2 linked regions of the Daphnia pulex genome follow. The protein of the gene in region 1 purifies or fractionates together with the protein of each later gene. This does not show direct contact. Links are inferred from orthologs where the notes say so. Each region holds a gene or a part of one and is shown in the gene's direction. Other genes may lie near its edges.

Region 1 (3,057 bases):
CCATCACATCAAACAAACTTAAGGCATCAAAGAATGTTAACTGCAAAAACAAGAGGACTAGTAATCACTTTGGGCACTCTGGAAAAAATCCATCATCAAGGTTAAGCACAAAAAAAGAAACAAGAGCCAAAAAAGAGGACCCATTTTCTGTCAAGAGTCTGATGGCAAAGTTCATTGAAGCTGCAAAAAATAAAAAAATCTCCTAACTTTGATAACTATATATGATAAAACTTGGAGTTCCATGTTTATTTCAGATTATTTTAGTTTATTTTTATGTGTGCATGATTAGTTCGCCAATGTGGAATGTGATGACTACTGAAACCCCCTATCCCCATATTCCCCTTTGTCTTGCGTTTTTTGTTTGGATCCTCGTTCAAGTAGTCAGTTTCGCGTTGAGTTACAAACGAACCGGTATCGCATCAAAATGTTCGTCATAGCTTTATCTCCCAAGATTTTATACACTGTGATGAAACCTTCCGAAAATTATTTTGTAATAGTTCATTGATATTTTGTTTGTAAAACAAAACTCGCCATTATTTTTTGTAACCCAGAAATTCATCGTATCAATAAATACAGATGCTTGTATGAATGATCGCCTCCGTTGTTATTTTTCTTCGAACGGTTGATTTTATAACATACAATGAAATAATGACTAACAAAAAAAACAGCAATCATAACTTTGACAGAAATATTCATCATGCTGCTACCACGTCTTTTAATGTCCTATTAATTAATTTATATACAGTGATGCTTATAGGAATTTCTTTCTTCTTTTAAAAGGTAATTTCATTTGAATTAAGTGCTACTATCCTTTTTATTAACACATTTAGCATTTTAATCTCACACAAAATAAATATATTGTTGATTAAAAAATTAAAAAACATCATCCCGTTAATAGGCCTGAATGAAATTCAACATTAATAAATTACATTCAAAGCTTTAGACAGGCTTTAGAGAAATAGAGAGCTACAGCCCTGCTACAGCCTACTTTCCATTTTCAAATTCCAACCGTCTTTTTTTCAAAGAAAAGGAAAATATTCCCGCCGTTTCTCCTAGTGAAATTTGGCAACATCTCGCTAGGAATTTTTTAGAGCCACCCATTTTCAGCCAGCCTTTACGCTACCAGAATTTTTAGAGACCAGTTTGGTATTAGAACCGCGCGATTGTGAACCTAAAGCTTAAAACCGCCGGTGAGTTAGATTTATCTTCGAATATTGTCCACATCCTTCATCTTTTCGTTGTTTTAAGTAAGCAGTAATGTTTCTTTTGCCAATCTCTTTTTAATTCGGCATGGAAAGTATTTTAGTCATCATAGTTATTTTATTCTGCATTTTTCAAGTTGTAACCTCTAACAGTCATCTTCCTCCATCAAAGACAACGCACTAAGCTAGTCAGTGGCGGTAAAACTGTTCTGTGGTAGTTGTTTGAAATAGTCCCTTTTTTCTCTTGACATTAAACATTGACAGTTAACTTGTAAGTGTTCACGAGTGTGTAAATTTTTAGAAAAATATATTTTGTTGTCGTTAGATTAAGTTCCAGTAAATTCTTGTTGAATGACGCAATCAAGTCTGATCGATTCACTTATCTTTTCTCATTATTTGTAGGATTTACAACAGAATGGCTGCCGAACCTGACATGCCCACTTTCAAGCTGGTCTTGGTTGGCGATGGTGGTACCGGAAAAACCACTTTCGTTAAGCGTCACTTGACTGGTGAATTTGAAAAGAAGTATGTGGCCACACTTGGTGTGGAAGTTCACCCTTTGGTTTTCCATACAAACCGTGGAGCCATCAGATTCAACGTGTGGGACACTGCTGGTCAGGAGAAGTTTGGAGGTCTCAGAGATGGATATTACATTCAGGTAAATGTCAGCATACTTGTATTCACATGGTCTCGACTGACTTTCATTTATCTTGCAGGGCCAATGTGCTATCATCATGTTTGATGTAACCTCTCGTGTCACCTACAAAAATGTTCCAAATTGGCACAGAGATTTGGTCCGAGTTTGTGAAAACATCCCAATTGTTCTTTGTGGCAACAAAGTTGACATTAAAGATCGTAAAGTCAAGGCCAAATCCATTGTCTTTCACAGAAAGAAGAATCTCCAGGTATGTTAATTGTGCTACTAAATTGTAAATGCAATTTGCTAAATTTTGGTTTCATTTAGTACTATGACATTAGTGCCAAGTCAAACTACAACTTTGAAAAGCCTTTCCTCTGGCTAGCACGTAAGCTAATTGGAGACCCTAACCTAGAGTTTGTTGCTATGCCTGCTCTGCAGCCACCTGAGGTGCAGATGGATCCTAATTGGCAGAAGCAAATTGAAGGTGAATTGGAGGAAGCTCAACACATTGCACTACCAGAAGATGATGAAGACTTGTAACATCAACATATTAGGATTTAAGCCACTACACCCTCCCACAAATTTTTCCATCTGTGTTTTCTGCCTTCTATCTTAACCAATTTTTATTTGCGAGGTATGAAAATACATTGTGCGTCATAATACAAAAGTCTTTCGAATTTTTGTTTATTAGTGCATAATTTATTTGCGCAAGGGAAAATATACAAAGTAGTAAAGTTAAGAAAAATGTAGTGAACAAATAAACTACTCTCTAATGAAAACATCGATACACTCGCCACCTTCAAATTCCAGACTAGACGGTGTGTCATCTTCTTCCAACATTTCGCCGTCAAATTTAAACTTCAATTTGGACAAATCAATCCCGGTTGCTTCCGCATACTTCTGCATCAAAACTGCCATAGGGTCTTCGGGGCGCATTGATATAACCACTTGTGCATTCCGGTTCTGACTCTGAACCTTTAACTCCAACAATGTTTCGTTGGAGCTGACGACAACTCCTTCTTTGCAGACTGAAGCATCTGTTAAAAAAAAGCACTGTTACAACGTTCGCTAATACCAAACCCAATCGTCCAAAGTTTTTACATTGGAAAACCAATTGACTTCATGCCAGGGTTGCTAAAACCGATTTATGACGCTGAAATGGACTGTAATTTGAATGACAAGTAACATACCAATGATGTCTGATATCCCAAGTGG
Region 2 (3,686 bases), on another chromosome or scaffold:
ACGATTCGGCAAATTTGACGTTTGCCGAATTGGTTTTTGCCGAATTGGTTGACTTTGTTATTTTCCCGAATCGTACATACCAATTCGGTAAAAAGCCAATTCGGCAAAATTGTTTAAAATGCCGTTGTAAGGCCAGTGGCGCTAGCTGTGTGGGTTTCGGGTAATCAGCGCCACCACCAACACGCGAATTATACTGTCTTTCCCGAGAGATCTTTGAGCCCTTCCCGACATAAACACAAAACAAAGTGGAACCTGCTTTAACTGCCCATTCTTTTTTAGAAAACCATGGAGGGAAAATAGTTGAGTGAAAGGGAAGTTTATTATTTTAAAGGTTCCGTCGGCATACCATCGAACGGCAGTTTTCAAAAGCGCTAGTTGTTCGTCAGTCATGAAAATTAAATGACGTTTAGAACCAACTACAACTTCTCCTTTAAAAAACGAAGTGGGCATTAAGTCCATTTTGATTTGAAAAAAAAGATCAATTGGGTTTTTAGCAGTGCGCTTTGCTTTTACCCGATTTACAGCCCTAGCTAACGTTGTGGGGTTAATTGGGTTCCACAGTATTTGCCGCCAATTTACATTTGCACAGTTGCCGAATCGACTTTTGCCGAATCGGTAATTTCATAGGTGACAATTCGGCAACTTTGCCGAAACGGTTTTCGGCGATTTGCCGAAATGGTTTTTGCCGAATCGTCCGACATTCGTAGCCAATTTCACCTAAATTGAATTCAACAAATCCCATTTTTGCGTGAATTTAATTCAATTCAGCTGAATATAAACTGAATTGAATTTTTGCGCCAAATTGCGTTGCCTAAAATAAACAATTTTTACAGCTACGTTGTCAAGTTATGTAAACTATTTTCACGATCATCGAAGTTTATGATTTCATCAATAGATGGCGTCAAATTAACAGCTTCTTTAATAGCTCCATATGACAAACAGTCAAACAGGGTGGTAGTAGTTTGTCTGTCTTGTAAGCGTCGTAGACCAATTTAAAATAAAATCAAAGAATGAGTCGTAGGAAACGTGATGATGGATATGGTAAGGATTACAACTTATTGAAGAATTTGATGACATTATAAAAAGTTATTTGTTTAAAATTACAGAACATGGGTATCGTAAAAGGCGCAGAGTTGTCTCGGAGCAGGCAGAAATTGAAGACCGGTTAGAATCTCTTATTATCAGGGTTGGAGACAAAACGTCATCATCTTTAGAAAGCAATTTAGAAGGGCTTGCTTCAGTATTAGAAGCTGATTTGAACACGTACAAGAGTAAAATATTACGTATTTTGTCGGAATGCCCAATCCAAATGCCAGAGAAATGTACTATCTACAGCACATTAGTTGGTCTTCTGAATGCTAAAAACTATAATTTTGGAGGAGAGGTTTGTTTTAAAATTGTACTTTCAGTTTTTAAGATACAAGTATATCTTTTTTTAGTTTGTGGAACAAATAGTGAGAAACCTAAAAGAAGCTCTCCGTGAGGGGCAATGGGAATCTGCTCGTTTAATTGTACGTTTCATATCTGACATGGTCAACTGTCACATAGTCTCTGCCTCTTCCTTGCTACAGTTATATGACAGTTTTATTGACGCTGCCATGGAACAAGGAGTTCCTCAGGTTCGACGAGACTGGTAATTAAATTTTTGTTTTATTCTAAAGCAAGAGTAATGTAGATCACAACACTGTATCAATTTACAGGTACATGTATGCGTTGTTGACGGCGCTTCCTTGGGTTGGTCGAGAGCTTTTTGAAAAGAAAGAAAATGATCTTGAACGTATAATGGCAGCAATGGAAGGTTATCTTCGCAGAAGAAATACTGCTCATGTCGCTGCTCTTCGAGTTTGGAATTGTGAAACTCCGCACCCACAGGTCAGAAATGGCATGGCATTTTAATAATAATTGAAAAATTTCGAAAAACGTTCTTTCTAGGAAGAATACCTGGAATGTCTTTGGGCTCAAGTACGGAAATTGCGGACAGACGAGTGGCAGGAAAGACACATTTACCGTCCATATTTAGCTTTTGATTCTATCCTCTCTGAAGCTTTGCAACACAATCTCCCGGTCATTCTACCTCCGCCTCACACAGCTAGTACGCAATATCCGCTACCATGGGTTGTTTTCAGGATGTTTGATTACACTGACTGTCCAGAAGTAAGTTAAACGCTTTCAAAAGTGTGTATCGTGCGTATTTAACTCGGGACTCATTTTCAGGCTGGTCCACTTTTACCAGGAACTCATTCAGTAGAGCGTTACTTGATTGAGGAACATTTACACCAGATCATCACTCGTCATCATAACGAACGCAAGGAACTGTGAGTTTCAACTTGACAGAAACGTTTGTGCAGATAATAGTAAATTAATTTTGCTTTTCAGAGCCACCCAATTGTTGGCGTTCCCACAGAGAAATAAGATCCCTTTGGAATACATGATAGTTGAAGTTCTCTTCTCAGAACTTTTCCAAATGCCTTCCCCTCGTTACTTGGAGATTGCTTATGGTTGTACTTTGATAGAACTTTGCAAGCTTCAACCAAGTACAATGCCTCAGGTGAAAATATGATCTTACAGTAGAAACTTGAACATTTTCATTTGACTTTTTATTTCACAACCAGGTGTTAGCACAGGCTACGGAGTTGCTTTACGAAAGAATTGATACCATGAATGCCACCTGCTTTGATAGATTCGTTTCTTGGTTTTCTTACCATCTCAGTAACTTTCAATTCCGCTGGAGTTGGGATGACTGGCAGAATTGTCTTTCACTCGAAAAAGACCACCCCAAGGTAAATGTTTAAAAAAATGAAATTTTTCGAAATCTATCTAAAGGAACACTTAAATTTCAGGCAAAATTTGTTTCTGAAGTGTTCGGGAAATGTTTGAGACTCTCCTATCACAAGCGCGTGACTGAAATGGTGCCTGAATGTTACTCACCGCTGTTGCCCCCGAAACCAGAACCGTACTTTAAATACCAAATTGAAGGAGGAAATGGTTTTCCTGGGGCTGCTCAAGTCCAGACTTTGACTGAGCTCCTAAGAAAAAAGCCAACGCCTGAAGAAGTACTAGAGTTGGTCCAGCAACTACCGAATCCTCTCAAAGGTAAATATGGTGGATACAATATGTATAACTTCAAGCCATTTTGATGCAATTGTAATTAGATGACGACGGGGATATGGAGCCTTCACACAATCCTCTAGCAATTGAAGTATTTGTTCAGACTCTGCTACATTTGGGATCGAAGAGTTTTACGCATACTTTTGCAGGTCTCGCTAAATATCATTCAGTCTTCAAGGTATTTTCAACAGATTGAAATGTTATCGATAGTATAAAACGATTCAATTTTACGTTTCTGTCATAGAATATTTGTGAGAATGAAGAGGCACAGATCTGTATGCTTCGTCAAGTTTATGAGCTCTGGCAACACCACCCACAATTTTTAGGAGTGGTAGTTGATAAGATGTTAAAGACACAAATTGTTGAGTGTTGTGCCGTAGCAAATTGGATCTTTTCACGAGACATGGCACCCGAGTTCACTCGTTCGTACATTTGGGAGGTCTTGCACTTGACTATTCGCAAAATGAACAAACACGTCGTCCGTCTAGAGAAAGAGGTGGCGGATGCACGCGCTAAACTCAGAGCTGCACCATCTGATTCGGAATCATCTGATGAAGATCCATCTAGAGGTGCGAACA

The links.
Region 2: the proteins of GTP-binding nuclear protein Ran (region 1) and nuclear cap-binding protein subunit 1-like purify together in Homo sapiens (co-immunoprecipitation; 3 studies listed by BioGRID and IntAct, with this or other methods). This does not show direct contact. The link is inferred for Daphnia pulex from reciprocal best matches to the Homo sapiens genes RAN and NCBP1.

Annotation. Positions count from the first base shown.
Region 1 is NC_060020.1:1,359,039-1,362,095, forward strand, and holds GTP-binding nuclear protein Ran, read left to right. Parts: upstream 1-1,037; 5' UTR 1,038-1,190; exon of another isoform or gene 1,191-1,247; intron 1,248-1,375; exon of another isoform or gene 1,376-1,473; intron 1,474-1,604; 5' UTR 1,605-1,617; coding exon 1,618-1,860; intron 1,861-1,918; coding exon 1,919-2,107; intron 2,108-2,166; coding exon 2,167-2,382; 3' UTR 2,383-2,519; downstream 2,520-3,057. Other genes in the region: uncharacterized protein LOC124192239, read left to right, coding at 1-206; NFATC2-interacting protein-like, read right to left, coding at 2,605-2,879, 3,033-3,057. UniProt on the Homo sapiens protein: GTPase involved in nucleocytoplasmic transport, participating both to the import and the export from the nucleus of proteins and RNAs. Switches between a cytoplasmic GDP- and a nuclear GTP-bound state by nucleotide exchange and GTP hydrolysis.
Region 2 is NC_060022.1:6,378,315-6,382,000, reverse strand, and holds the start of nuclear cap-binding protein subunit 1-like, read left to right. Parts: upstream 1-886; 5' UTR 887-1,010; coding exon 1,011-1,041; intron 1,042-1,106; coding exon 1,107-1,384; intron 1,385-1,439; coding exon 1,440-1,633; intron 1,634-1,700; coding exon 1,701-1,872; intron 1,873-1,932; coding exon 1,933-2,154; intron 2,155-2,214; coding exon 2,215-2,315; intron 2,316-2,376; coding exon 2,377-2,548; intron 2,549-2,612; coding exon 2,613-2,780; intron 2,781-2,840; coding exon 2,841-3,093; intron 3,094-3,152; coding exon 3,153-3,286; intron 3,287-3,352; coding exon 3,353-3,677; intron 3,678-3,686. Other genes in the region: uncharacterized protein LOC124196162, read left to right, coding at 1-18. UniProt on the Homo sapiens protein: Component of the cap-binding complex (CBC), which binds cotranscriptionally to the 5'-cap of pre-mRNAs and is involved in various processes such as pre-mRNA splicing, translation regulation, nonsense-mediated mRNA decay, RNA-mediated gene silencing (RNAi) by microRNAs (miRNAs) and mRNA export.